Linked DNA regions of Xenopus tropicalis. The protein of the gene in region 1 interacts with the protein of each later gene in a biochemical or structural test. Links are inferred from orthologs where the notes say so. Each region holds a gene or a part of one and is shown in the gene's direction. Other genes may lie near its edges.

Region 1 (4,116 bases):
CTGTTTTATTACTACAGAAAAAAAGGAATAATTTTTCAAAATGTAAATTATTTGCTTATAATGAAGTCCATGGTAGATGACCTTCTTGTAATTCAGAGCTTTCTGGATAATGGGTTTCCGGATAAGGGATCCCATACCTGTACTACCATTATGTAATACACAACTCAGTCTCAGTATTCAGCCCTTTTAAATTGTCCTTGGTTGTTGGAACATTTCCCATGAATTCTAAAGTTTATTAGTTACTCTAAAGTTGACCATTAAGATAAAACTATGATTTTCATATATCTGCAACACTGAAACATTATTTTTAAATAATATGTGAATTTTGCAATACATTTTGCAAAGTAATTAATAAATACAGATAAAGAGAGTTGTCTGTAAATGTATAGCTATTGTCCTATACCAGATATAAGGCATAAGACTGATTATTTGGTGTACTGTATATAGAACAATGAATCATTAACACAAAAGGGGTCATTTATAAACTCAAAGGTAGGGTGCAAAGTGCAAAAAGATGGTGAATTGCACCCTGCCTTTCAGTTTGTAAATGACCCCTTCTGTGTTAATGATTCATAATTCTATAAACCGAACAATCAGTCTTACAACGTTCATCTGGTATAGGAAAATATCTATACATATACAAACAACTTTAATCCAGACAGGCCATGTGTTCAAAGCAGTGGGATTTTCATTTAGGGTGCCATCTTTGCCATACATATATGCTGCCCTATGCTGCACAAACAGGCAGCATAGGGCAGGCAGAGTATGGCACACACAGGCAGCATAGCGCAGGCAGAGTATTGCACACACAGGCAGCACACATTGCATCTTTATGTTCAGTTACTCCCATTCATTGCCTTGGGCCTTAGGTTTACTGTAAAAGGAAGGCAAAGAAGCCAGGCGGGTAGGCCAGCATTGTGCTGCTTACTCCACACACCTGCAATGCCATTCCTATGGAATAAAGTAGCATGGTCTCTGTGCTGCCCAAGGTACTAAATGTTTATTGTACAGTCAGGACACGTGTGCAAAAAGGGAAAGCTGACAATCGGCGACAGAGAAAGAGAAAAATACGCATAGAATAAAGTTGCATCGTGTTACTCTCTGGCCTCCCACCGGTCGAAGTGACAGCAAGTGGGAAATTCCAGGCAGGAAGTGAGAACAACAGCTACTTCTTCTCTATGATGGGCAGAAGAAGCCGCACAAACCCCTCCAGCGGGGAGGAGGCGAGAGGCTGAGCCCGCCCCGAGCAAAGAGAAAACAAGGAAACTGAAAGAGGCAGGAGTGCGGCTGTGCGCCCGGGCTCTCACTTTTCTGCCCTTCGCTGCAATGGACAGCTAGACAGGAGCCTGCTGAGGAGGTGTCATTCATTATCTGGCTCGCACGGCAGCGCGTCCTGTCCATCACCAACACGCAATTCTTTGCATTACTGCGGCTGTCACTCATTTACTCAATCGGGAAAGACGGCCAGTAACTATAACCAGTGCAAGGTAAGAAGGAAGCTGATATAGAAAACCTTTGCTTGCCTGATGATGGGTTCCAGTCACTGAGTGCCAAAGTGCATTCATCGGAGCTGAGCTTACCCTGAGGCACTTCCTTGTATGCCGGCGCACATGTGCGCAATATTGTGCCCCCCGGGATTCCTGCCCCCTGTGTTGGAGCCTACCAACTGGGCAGCCCTGCTCTAATGTTACACTGCTTTAAAGGCAAAGGTTGTGCTTAATACAGGGGGAAATCATTGATACAGCTCAGAACACCTCTCTTCCCAAGCCTCTTACACTTCTACTTCCTTGTGATTCTGTTTCCCCAACGGTGATAGGGACAAGAGTAATCACTCAGTGGGTGTGAGCAGTGTCCATATGTGCTCTAGAAAAACTGTCAGTGATGGAAGAAGCGTGATGCTTGGGGTTAACACACAAACTGCTCATTGGGAGCCTGGCTTTTGTACCATAGATGCTACTTTGTATGAACAAACAACTGCTGAATTTGTATCAACAAAAACATCTTCACTGAATCTTGATAAATTACAAATCTTTTCTGTCTGCAGCTTTCTTTTTACCTATAACATTTGCTGCATCTTTGTGTTACATTTAAGTGAGAGTGATTTGTAAAGCATTACTCTCTTTTTAATAAGGTAATGCAAGATAGACAGAATAGACTGGTGTAGTGTAATATGAGGCCTTTCTTTGACTTTTGAACGTTTGCTTGCATCTGTTTTGGTCCAGGCTCCTCAGATTAGCATCTACTAACTTCTATCCATTAGGCTTTCTCTAAAATAAACAATCTCAGCTATACTGTATAAAAAGAGTAATAGCATAGATATTAAGGAATAACAGTTTATATTCACAAGTTATGTGTCACAATAGAAATATTCTGCAAGTAGAGAGGACTGGCAACACTGAGCTTAATGTGATGAAAATAATATTGTATTTATCATAGCATGAGCAGCCAATGTGACGTTTTGGCCCCCCTAAGGACCTTACCCATTTAATTTTTCTCTTTAATTATAAAACAGTACCGTGTACTTGATACCAACTAAGAAATATTGAATCCTTTTTGGAGGCAAAACAATCCTGTTGGGTTTAAATAATATTTAAATTATTTTCTAGCAGACTTAAGAGATCCCAATTACAGAAAGACCCCTTTTCTGGAAAACCACAGGTCCTGAGCATTCTGGATAACAGGTCCCATACCTGTATTATTTAGGTTATTCAAGGCTTTTGAGTATTATGAGGATTCTTAACCTATGGATCAGGACCCAGAATAAGGTTCCCATGCTGTTTTGGGTGGGCCTCCATAATTCTTTTTACATTATGAAGAATTTTCAGATACAGGTATGGGATCCCTTATCCGGAAACCCATTATCCAGAAAGCTCCGAATTACGGAATGCCCGTCTCCCATAGACTCCAATTTAATCAAATAATTCAGAATTTTAAAACTGATTTCCCTTTTCTCTGTAGTAATAAAATAGTACCTTGTAATTGATCCCAACTAAGATACAAATAATCCTTATTGGATGCAAAACAATCTTATTGGATTTAATTGCAGTTTTATTGATTGTTTGGTAGACTTAAGGTATGGAGATCCAAATTACGGAAAGACCCCTTATCCGGAATACCCTTGGTCCCGAGCATTCTGGATAACGGGTCCTATACCTGTATAGAAAATAGAAAATTGCAATGAAAACAAGGCAATTTTTTCAGTAACAAAGCTGATTCAGCCATGTCATTTGGGATTTCAGACAAAAAGTTCAAGTAGCACAGGATCTAGTTTATATATCAGTGAAATAAAAAAAACTCTTCTGTCAGCTATATGAACTGGGAGACGTATTAAAAAATCTACCAAATATCTATTACACTTATATACTGTATTTCTATTAGCATACCAGTATTGTGTCTTACCTGGCCAGTCTTTATGTTTAGACACACAACTTGCTAAATATCAATTTATTGCAAATATTGTATTAAGATCAAATATGATGATGAATGGTTGCTGTAAAGGGGATCTCTGCCTAAAAAACCTTTTTGTAAAATGATAGAAAACTTAATTCTAAGCAAACTTCCAATATACGCTGATTAAAAATCAATGCTGTTAATTGCTATTAAAGCAGTATTTCTTTATTCTTTTCTCTCTGGCTCTGGGTTTCAAGAGTCAGAACCAATAGTGCATAGAATACAGTAGTACCCCCATTTTACGTTTTTCAGGGGACCAGAAAAAAATGGTGCAAAATCTGGAAAAATGGAAAATCAGGGAAGTTTATTATGTGTTAAATATTAGTTGGACCACAAAACAATGGTGTAAAATGCAGGAAAACTTAAAAACCACAAAAAATTATTAGTTCATGTATATTTAAAGTTGCATAGAATGGTATTTTCTTTTCTATTGTGTTGTTGAAAACACTTTCAAATTAAAGAGTAGGCACGATGAGTAAACATCAACTGACTGAATGCTGTTTTGTTATGTGCTTACTCATCATCACCTATAAAATTCCCTGTGAATTTCTAATAAAATGTTATTGAGGTGGGGATTATTCTGTACTTCCTCGTACACAATACAATTCTATCCCACCTGTACTGGGAGGCCTGTATTTAAGATATCTAGAGTCAAACAAAGAAAAA
Region 2 (3,653 bases), on another chromosome or scaffold:
TCCTTTTACCCATGCCATTTCCCACAGTGGGTTCTGTAAGCCTGTGCTCATCTGCCATCACACAGCTGTATTGTTTTTTTTCTCTCTCTTGGCACATTGGCTTCTCATCAGGCAGATAATTTAGAATAATATAGAATATAAATGTAACCGTATAATGCTGATTAGTAATTCAGATTCTCATTATATGGCAGCTCTGGGACCAGTGCAGTTTGCATCAGAATTTTATAATTAGACCTGTAGCATCAGTTTGACAGGCCAGCCTCATTTTCAGTTTGATCATTTGCGACAACCCCTAAGCTTAGCTTTTCAGTAGCTGCCAAGAAAACACTGATCGTGTGCACTGTCCAGGACAGTTCTAACAGAATCCAAGATGGGAAGCTCCTGTGGCAACTGTAAAGACCTATATACTACTATACTACTATATACTACTGTAGAGATACTAAAACTTGAAGCTAGTACAGTCAGTTTAGTAAAAAAAAAAAAAAAGTATAAAATAGCCATATTCATCTTTAGGGTTTAGTTCTCCTTTAAGGGTGTTGGGAATGGAGGTTATGTTCCATGAAGATGCTCCTCTAAAGCTGGCCATAAACATACTGATAAGCTTTTCATCCTATCTTCAGTTCAAATATGTTTGTCAAATACTTCTGGCTGATATCCTTTATCAGTTTTTATAGGTTGGTTTGTCAAAGGGAAGGTAAAGCCATAGCCAGTGGCATAACTAGAGATATATGGGTTTTGCTGGATTTAATCTCAGGACCCCCACCCACCCCCAACTGGCCACGGCTCCTACTGTTTTTGATTTCTGTCATTTGAGATGGTAGAAAGGTGGATGCACTTTTTATGGATACAATACAATATCCGTCCTTTGGCCCACAGGCTCAGTGGTCATTACCAGCAAATATTAGTATATGGCCACCTTAAGAATTCCGTATAATTTCTGTTCTAAAGGGACTTAAGGCATCATTAAAATAGGTAGCAGAAACAAACCTATCAAGAAATGGACCCATAGGGTCACACAAACATATATTTCAGGGTACTGTTTCATCCATATATGTAAATCGGGGTCTTACTCCGGATCTGGGACAACCTTTTACCTTAAATTGGTAAGGTATGTGCCCAGGTCAGGATGTTGTGCAACAAGCAGGCTCAAAGTTCTGGGGCAATGTAACATGCCTGACTGATTAGTCTCTGTCTGTCTGTGTGCTCTTCCTTACTCCTTGTGTAACACATGTTTCTGTTGCCAGATCAGAAGTGCAGAGGTATTTATCTGCTTCGTAATTCAATAACATTGTTTGCTTTTTTTCTCACTTTAAAAGCAGGCTACCCCAAAGCAGAAGTTTAAGGTTTTTATAGTTATGCTGGTAAAAGTCTGGCCTGGAGGCAAACTGCTTCTAAATATTCAGCCACAGGAATTTAAAATACCTAAACCAAAAGCTGTAGCATGAAGACTGAAGTCCAGGGAGGTTTACTTGGAGGTGCACTTTTAGATTTTGAATACCAACCACACAGACATTCCAGTGCCATCCTAGCTGGCATCTTTAAAATATCATCTCAAAAACTGAAAATCATTTTTGATCTTTGATCTGCCTGTTGGACCTGTACCTCCAATAAAAGAATAACTTTATTTTTTTTTTTACATCTGGCAGTATTGTGTTGGTACTCCTGTGTGGTACATGATGTTTTCTACTTTCACCTTATAAAGCATATTGAGTTATGTAGGTGTCTTTTAGCTTATGGCACAAAAAAGTGGTTGATATTGCAAAATTATTGCTGAATTACTAAATACATTCTAAGTTCTTTGTGAAAACATGACCTTTTTTTACTGTAACAGTAACATCTGTCCCCAATGTAAAACACCTGCAAACTATCCTTTCCTGCCACCCAGTTTCCCTTGTGGCTTTGCTTTGTTATACATCCTCCTGTTTTGGTGGGGTAGTGATTTTTCACCTGACTCTTTTTAATGTTTATCATTGCACTAATGCTTTATTACTTCTTTCTACTCTTCATTTTCTGCTGTCCTGCTTTTTCCCCCCAGTCTGTGGAAAACGCTATAAAAACAGGCCTGGTTTGAGCTATCATTATGCCCACTCACACCTTGTGGATGAAGAAGGTGCCGGGGCAGAAGATAAGGAGGATTCTCAGCCTCCCACTCCTATCATGCAGAGACCAGAGGAACAAAAATGTAAGTTTAGGCATCTACACAGAATGCAGAGGAAATGTTTGGGCAACTTCAGAAAACGAAGCACCATGTATGCTTTCCAACCGGCAATTCACTTTACTGTTAGTGGGAAAGCATTTTGGGGAGATTAGTCGCCCATGGTAGCGTAGATTAGGGCACCATTGTTTTAGGTGTTGCTTTCAAAAGCGATTACAAATTCATTAATTACAAATAATTCAATAGCAATTACAAATACATTTCATATCATTAAAAGTATATATCAAAAATTGCTTAGGATTGCATTACTTAGGTTATTCAAAATAGTTTTTTTAAGTTTGTTCCTTCTTGTTCTCCTTTTTCAACATATTTGATGCTTTTATCTTTTCCCAGCCAAAAAGGGCCCAGATGGTCTTGCACTGCCAAACAATTATTGTGACTTCTGCCTTGGAGACTCTAAGATTAACAAGAAAACAAACCAGGCTGAGGAGCTTGTGTCCTGCTCAGACTGCGGCCGCTCTGGTATGTTAAAAGAAGACTCTAGTATTTGATGAAGACTTAATACTACATGATGCATCTGATTTTATTTTTAACTGGAAAGCTTTTGCATTTAAAAGTTGAAGGCCCAAATGGGCTGTCCTAACACTCATAGGAATTCCGAACTATAATGTTTTTCAGGAATTCTCAATTTAAATATTCTAAAATGGGATATTGTGATGCATATATATGTTTAGAAGCTATATAAATGTGCATTCTGCTAATAATTTAGAGCAGTTCTTGGCTAACTGCGGGCCTCATCCACTTAGAGGGGCATGGGGGATCGGGGAAGTTGGGCAATTTCTGAGTAGCAAGCCAATTAGGGTGAGAGCTTTTTTTTGCACTTTAGATACTCCTGAAATCCCCATTGAAGGGTTAAGTGAGGAGTGAAGACTTACTTGCAGCCCTAGATATTCTTAAAACTGAAAAACGGGTTCATTTGAAACCTTGCTATAAGCTAAGTGGGTTGTGGACCTCAAAATGAATGTTGGGGATGAACTTTTAAACCACTTTGCCGGCCAGTTAACAGTGGTAGCAAAAAGCCAAATTTACAATTTTTTATTTTTCTTCTAGTGCAGAGAGTGCAATAGCACTTTTCTGCACTAGTGATGTGGCACCACCTTTACCTTCTCCGACACTAAAGATTAAGCGCTGTGCGGGGGGACAGGATTGGGGCACCATCATTTGTTTTGCTTTTTTTTTTTTTTTTTTTTTTTTTGTACATCCATAGAACAAATGTATACAGCAACATTGTACAGCAAATTAACTCCCTTCAACATTTGGCAGCTTGCCTTCTAAAGTTCCCCTATGATTTGAGTTATTGATCCTCAGGTCAGAAATATCAGATTAGCTTGCTGAGATTTACAGCCGGTTGCTATGCACATGTTGCAGAGGTCAGCAGAAATATGGTATTTTTTAGTTTTTGGATGAACGCAGATATTGGATACATATGTATGCAAAA
Region 3 (4,148 bases), on another chromosome or scaffold:
AATGATTCCCTTTTCTCTGTAATAATAAAACAGTACCTGTACTTGATCCCAACTAAGATATAATTACCCCTTATTGAAGGCAGAACAGCCCTATTGGGTTTATTTAATGGTTAAATGATTCCCTTTTCTCTGTAATAATAAAACAGAACCTGTACTTGATCCCAACTAAGATATAATTACCCCTTATTGGGGTAGAACAGTCCTATTGGGTTTATTTCATGGTTAAATGATTCCCTTTTCTCTGTAGTAATAAAACAGTACCTGTACTTGATCCCAACTAAGATATAATTACCCCTTATTGGGGCAGAACAGTCCTATTGGGTTTATTTAATGGTTAAATGATTCCCTTTTCTCTGTAATAATAAAACAGTACCTGTACTTGATCCCAACTAAGATATAATTACCCCTTATTGGGGCAGAACAGCCCTATTGGGTTTATTTAATGGTTAAATGATTCCCTTTTCTCTGTAATAATAAAACAGTACCTGTACTTGATCCCAACTAAGATATAATTACCCCTTATTGGGGGCAGAACAGCCCTATTGAGTTTATTTAATGGTTAAATGATTCCCTTTTCTCTGTAATAATAAAACAGTACCTGTACTTGATCCCAACTAAGATATAATTACCCCTTATTGAAGGCAGAACAGCCCTATTGGGTTTATTTAATGGTTAAATGATTCCCTTTTCTCTGTAATAATAAAACAGAACCTGTACTTGATCCCAACTAAGATATAATTACCCCTTATTGGGGCAGAACAGTCCTATTGGGTTTATTTCATGGTTAAATGATTCCCTTTTCTCTGTAGTAATAAAACAGTACCTGTACTTGATCCCAACTAAGATATAATTACCCCTTATTGGGGCAGAACAGTCCTATTGGGTTTATTTAATGGTTAAATGATTCCCTTTTCTCTGTAATAATAAAACAGTACCTGTACTTGATCCCAACTAAGATATACTTACCCCTTATTGGGGGCAGAACAGCCCTATTGGGTTTAATTAATGTTTTACTGATTTTAAAGATCCCTTATCTGGAATACCCTTGGTCCGGAGCATTCTGGATAATGGGTCCTATACCTGTACTACTCTCTCTGTAGCCCACCATATCCAGGGCTAAGAATTATAGTGCAACACCAGGCTATTTGTATGTGTCACTTGGTATCAGTGAATCCCCCCTGGGATGGAAGCTGCTCACTGGGAGTCGCTGAGGCTGCTGGGAGTTTCTGTGTGAGTGCAGCAGGCAGATAAGCGGCACAGAGAGTCTCCCCCGGGGATAAGCAAATGAGCAGCGGGGGTGTGGGGATTTCCTCCCTGGGGGACACAGCGAGAGTTACACTGAGAGCTGCCACACTGCTCCTCTCCCTGGCACTGGCGGGGTTAATAGAATCTCCTGCTTTTCTTGTTGTTTCTCATCATTTCCAGGAAGAGCCGTGCCGCCGCTCATGGAACCTCCCCGTTTTGGACTTTCCAGCCCTCAGTTCAGCAAGCGGCACAGTCGGAACATGGGAGCCGTGTGAGGCAGCGGCGGAGCCGGGACAGCCATGCCCGGGCACAAAGGTAGGAATGGGGCTGCGGCTGGCACTGTGGGGATGGCAGGGAGGACTCCTACACAACTCACAGAGACACCAGTTTCCATGGTAACGTTCTTCTCACTGGGTGCCAAGCTAATATATATGTTCTGAAGCTTTAGATACTGAGTTGCCCTTATGCCCACTATGGCCAGGCTGGATGAAATGGCTACTGTACAGGGGGGCACATATATTTTCTGTCAAAGTGGAGGCCAGTGGGGTAGTATTTTGGGGGGCCCTCACTGCCTGTAATGAGCTGCACCCCCAGCTGCTCCCTCACCCCCTGCACTCACTTGCATTAGGCAACACAGGGTGGCAGGGGTGCAAGGGGGAATGGTGGGGTTCCAGGCCCCCCAGTCCTGCCTTTACAGAGTCTGTTGTATGGTGTTAACAAAAAACATTTAACAAAAGACAAATCTATCAGTGTAGGCACCCAGCTCTCTGCAGTCTCTGACCAGTGGAATCAGTCATGTGCACTGGAGCTGCTGGAACAGTTCTGTTTTTGTTCCAACCTTTCTCCACCCAACAGGCTGTTGGATTAGTAAATGGTACTTTCTAAAGTGATTAATGTAGCTCCTTTATGTAGCTCTGCTCTATCAATGCAGAAGGAACGCTGAGTAGCTACGTGGGGTGCTATAACAGTTAGGAATCGTAAGAGACCATCTTTATATCCGTGTCCTTCTAATAGCTGCTGGGTCTGGCTTCAGACCTGCTTGATCCTGTATATTGTACTGATGGTTGCAGTTTGAACCCACACATAAACCCCCTGTGCATTCAGTGGGAGGGGGATGAGGATAAGAGCTTGTACAGGTATAGGACCCGTTATCCAGAATGCTCGGGACCAAGGGTATTCCGGATAAGGGGCCTTTCCGTAATTTGGAAAATTTGGAAAAAATCAACAAAACATTAATTAAACCCAATTGGATTGTTTTGTATCCAATAAGGATTATTTATATCTTAGTTGGGATCAATTACAAGGTACTGTTTTATTAATACAGAGAAAAAAGAAATCAGTTATAAAATTCTGAAATATTTAATTAAAATGGAGTCCATGGGAGACAGGCTTTCTGTAATTCGGAGCTTTCTGGATAACGGGTTTCCGGATAAGGGATCCCATAATTGTATTCTATTGTATATTATACCTGGTGTAAACCAAAGATCCCATGCATACCCTCAGTCCTAAGCTGAGCTCTGTATGTGCATTAATATGTGCCCCACCACAATACACTGAGTTACCTAGCAATGTCAGAAGTAATGCAAGTTGGGTTGGTACCATTTTTGGACAGTGTGAAATATGTTATTTCTGCAGCCTCATACACCTAACCTTTAGTGGTTCCCAAACTGTGGGCTGCCCCCCCCAGGTGGCTCAGGGTCTTGCCCGGGGACCCAGGGTGAAGGACAGTTAGGGTGAGTTTTAGTGTGTGCTTATTTGCTATGTTAGATATTCTAGAATTTATGGCTGATTTAGCAATCTTTTCATATGTCTGTGGCCTTGTAATGAGCTAAGGGTGCCCTGGATTGATGATGCACTCTAACGAGGGGTTTGAACTGAATAATGCTGAAAACCACTTCTCTTGGACCATGTGCACTTTTATTCTAGGATGGTGCCTGTTTATCCACCTGTTCTAGGCTCAGAGGTTACGTGACGCCATTTATAGATGCACATTCCTTGTATCTTGCTTGCCCAAACATTGCTCTTTTGCTGCTCAGTAGGTGGCCCGTGCTCAGAAGGTGGCTCAAAGGCATTAAAGTGCAAAATACTCAAACAAATGAGAGTAACAGGTTATATACTGCGGGGTACAAGGTTAAGGCCCCATGACTGTCAGCCTGCCAGTTTATACCCAGGCTAACAATCTGCCCTACTGCACTGTAAATAAACAAATTGCAATTGCAAGTCTACTGGTTCTGACTTTAGGAACAATGTGGCAGAAGATGGCCAGACATACAGTTTCAATAAAATGTATATAACATTAAAACTATTGAAAATATGTAATGAATGTGTATTGGAAAGTATTACATTTTCTAGTTTATTTTTGGATTTTCCCCTCCCCTTTAATCTTTGTTATTTTCTTTGGAAGTATGAGTGTTGGAAACTGGGAAAGTCCTTGTTTTCTGCTTCCCTGGTGCAGTTCTTTGTCTGCGCCGATCCTTGTAGGGCTGGATGGAAAGTAAATAACTTGCATATTTTCGTTTCACTATAATGCAAGTGCTGAGATATTTATAGTGATTTCCTCAGTGGTTAAGCCCCTGGTCTGTCACATGTCTTTTGGTCTGATAAAGCATGAGTTCAGTCCATCGGGCAATCCCTTGTTGCATTGGTCAATACAGTTTGTCTGTGTTTATATATGATAAGTGGCTGTTTGTATTAGAAACAGTGCATACTGTGTGTGCGTGCTTGAGATTGTTATGGCTCAGCTGCAGTAAGTATTGCCATGTGGAAGCCATGAAGCTATCACTTCTGGATCATAAGACCTTCCATTCAAACGTATCATGTGAGCTTATTGTTTGTACATTTAGGGGTGTACCAATACACACAGTAGAGGTGGTGACAGGCCCAAGTGAGGCCTTTATTTAAAG

Evidence for each region.
Region 2: the proteins of nfkb1 (region 1) and dpf2 form a complex in vitro, tested with the Homo sapiens proteins (2 studies listed by BioGRID). The link is inferred for Xenopus tropicalis from reciprocal best matches to the Homo sapiens genes NFKB1 and DPF2.
Region 3: the proteins of nfkb1 (region 1) and map3k8 form a complex in vitro, tested with the Homo sapiens proteins (2 studies listed by BioGRID and IntAct, with this or other methods). The link is inferred for Xenopus tropicalis from reciprocal best matches to the Homo sapiens genes NFKB1 and MAP3K8.

Annotation. Positions count from the first base shown.
Region 1 is NC_030677.2:73,654,853-73,658,968, reverse strand, and holds the start of nfkb1 (nuclear factor NF-kappa-B p105 subunit), read left to right. Parts: upstream 1-1,181; 5' UTR 1,182-1,487; intron 1,488-4,116.
Region 2 is NC_030680.2:32,327,826-32,331,478, reverse strand, and holds part of dpf2 (zinc finger protein ubi-d4), read left to right. Parts: intron 1-2,035; coding exon 2,036-2,182; intron 2,183-2,548; coding exon 2,549-2,677; intron 2,678-3,653. UniProt on the Homo sapiens protein: Plays an active role in transcriptional regulation by binding modified histones H3 and H4. Is a negative regulator of myeloid differentiation of hematopoietic progenitor cells. Might also have a role in the development and maturation of lymphoid cells.
Region 3 is NC_030682.2:23,823,586-23,827,733, forward strand, and holds the start of map3k8 (mitogen-activated protein kinase kinase kinase 8), read left to right. Parts: upstream 1-1,202; 5' UTR 1,203-1,544; coding exon 1,545-1,560; intron 1,561-4,148.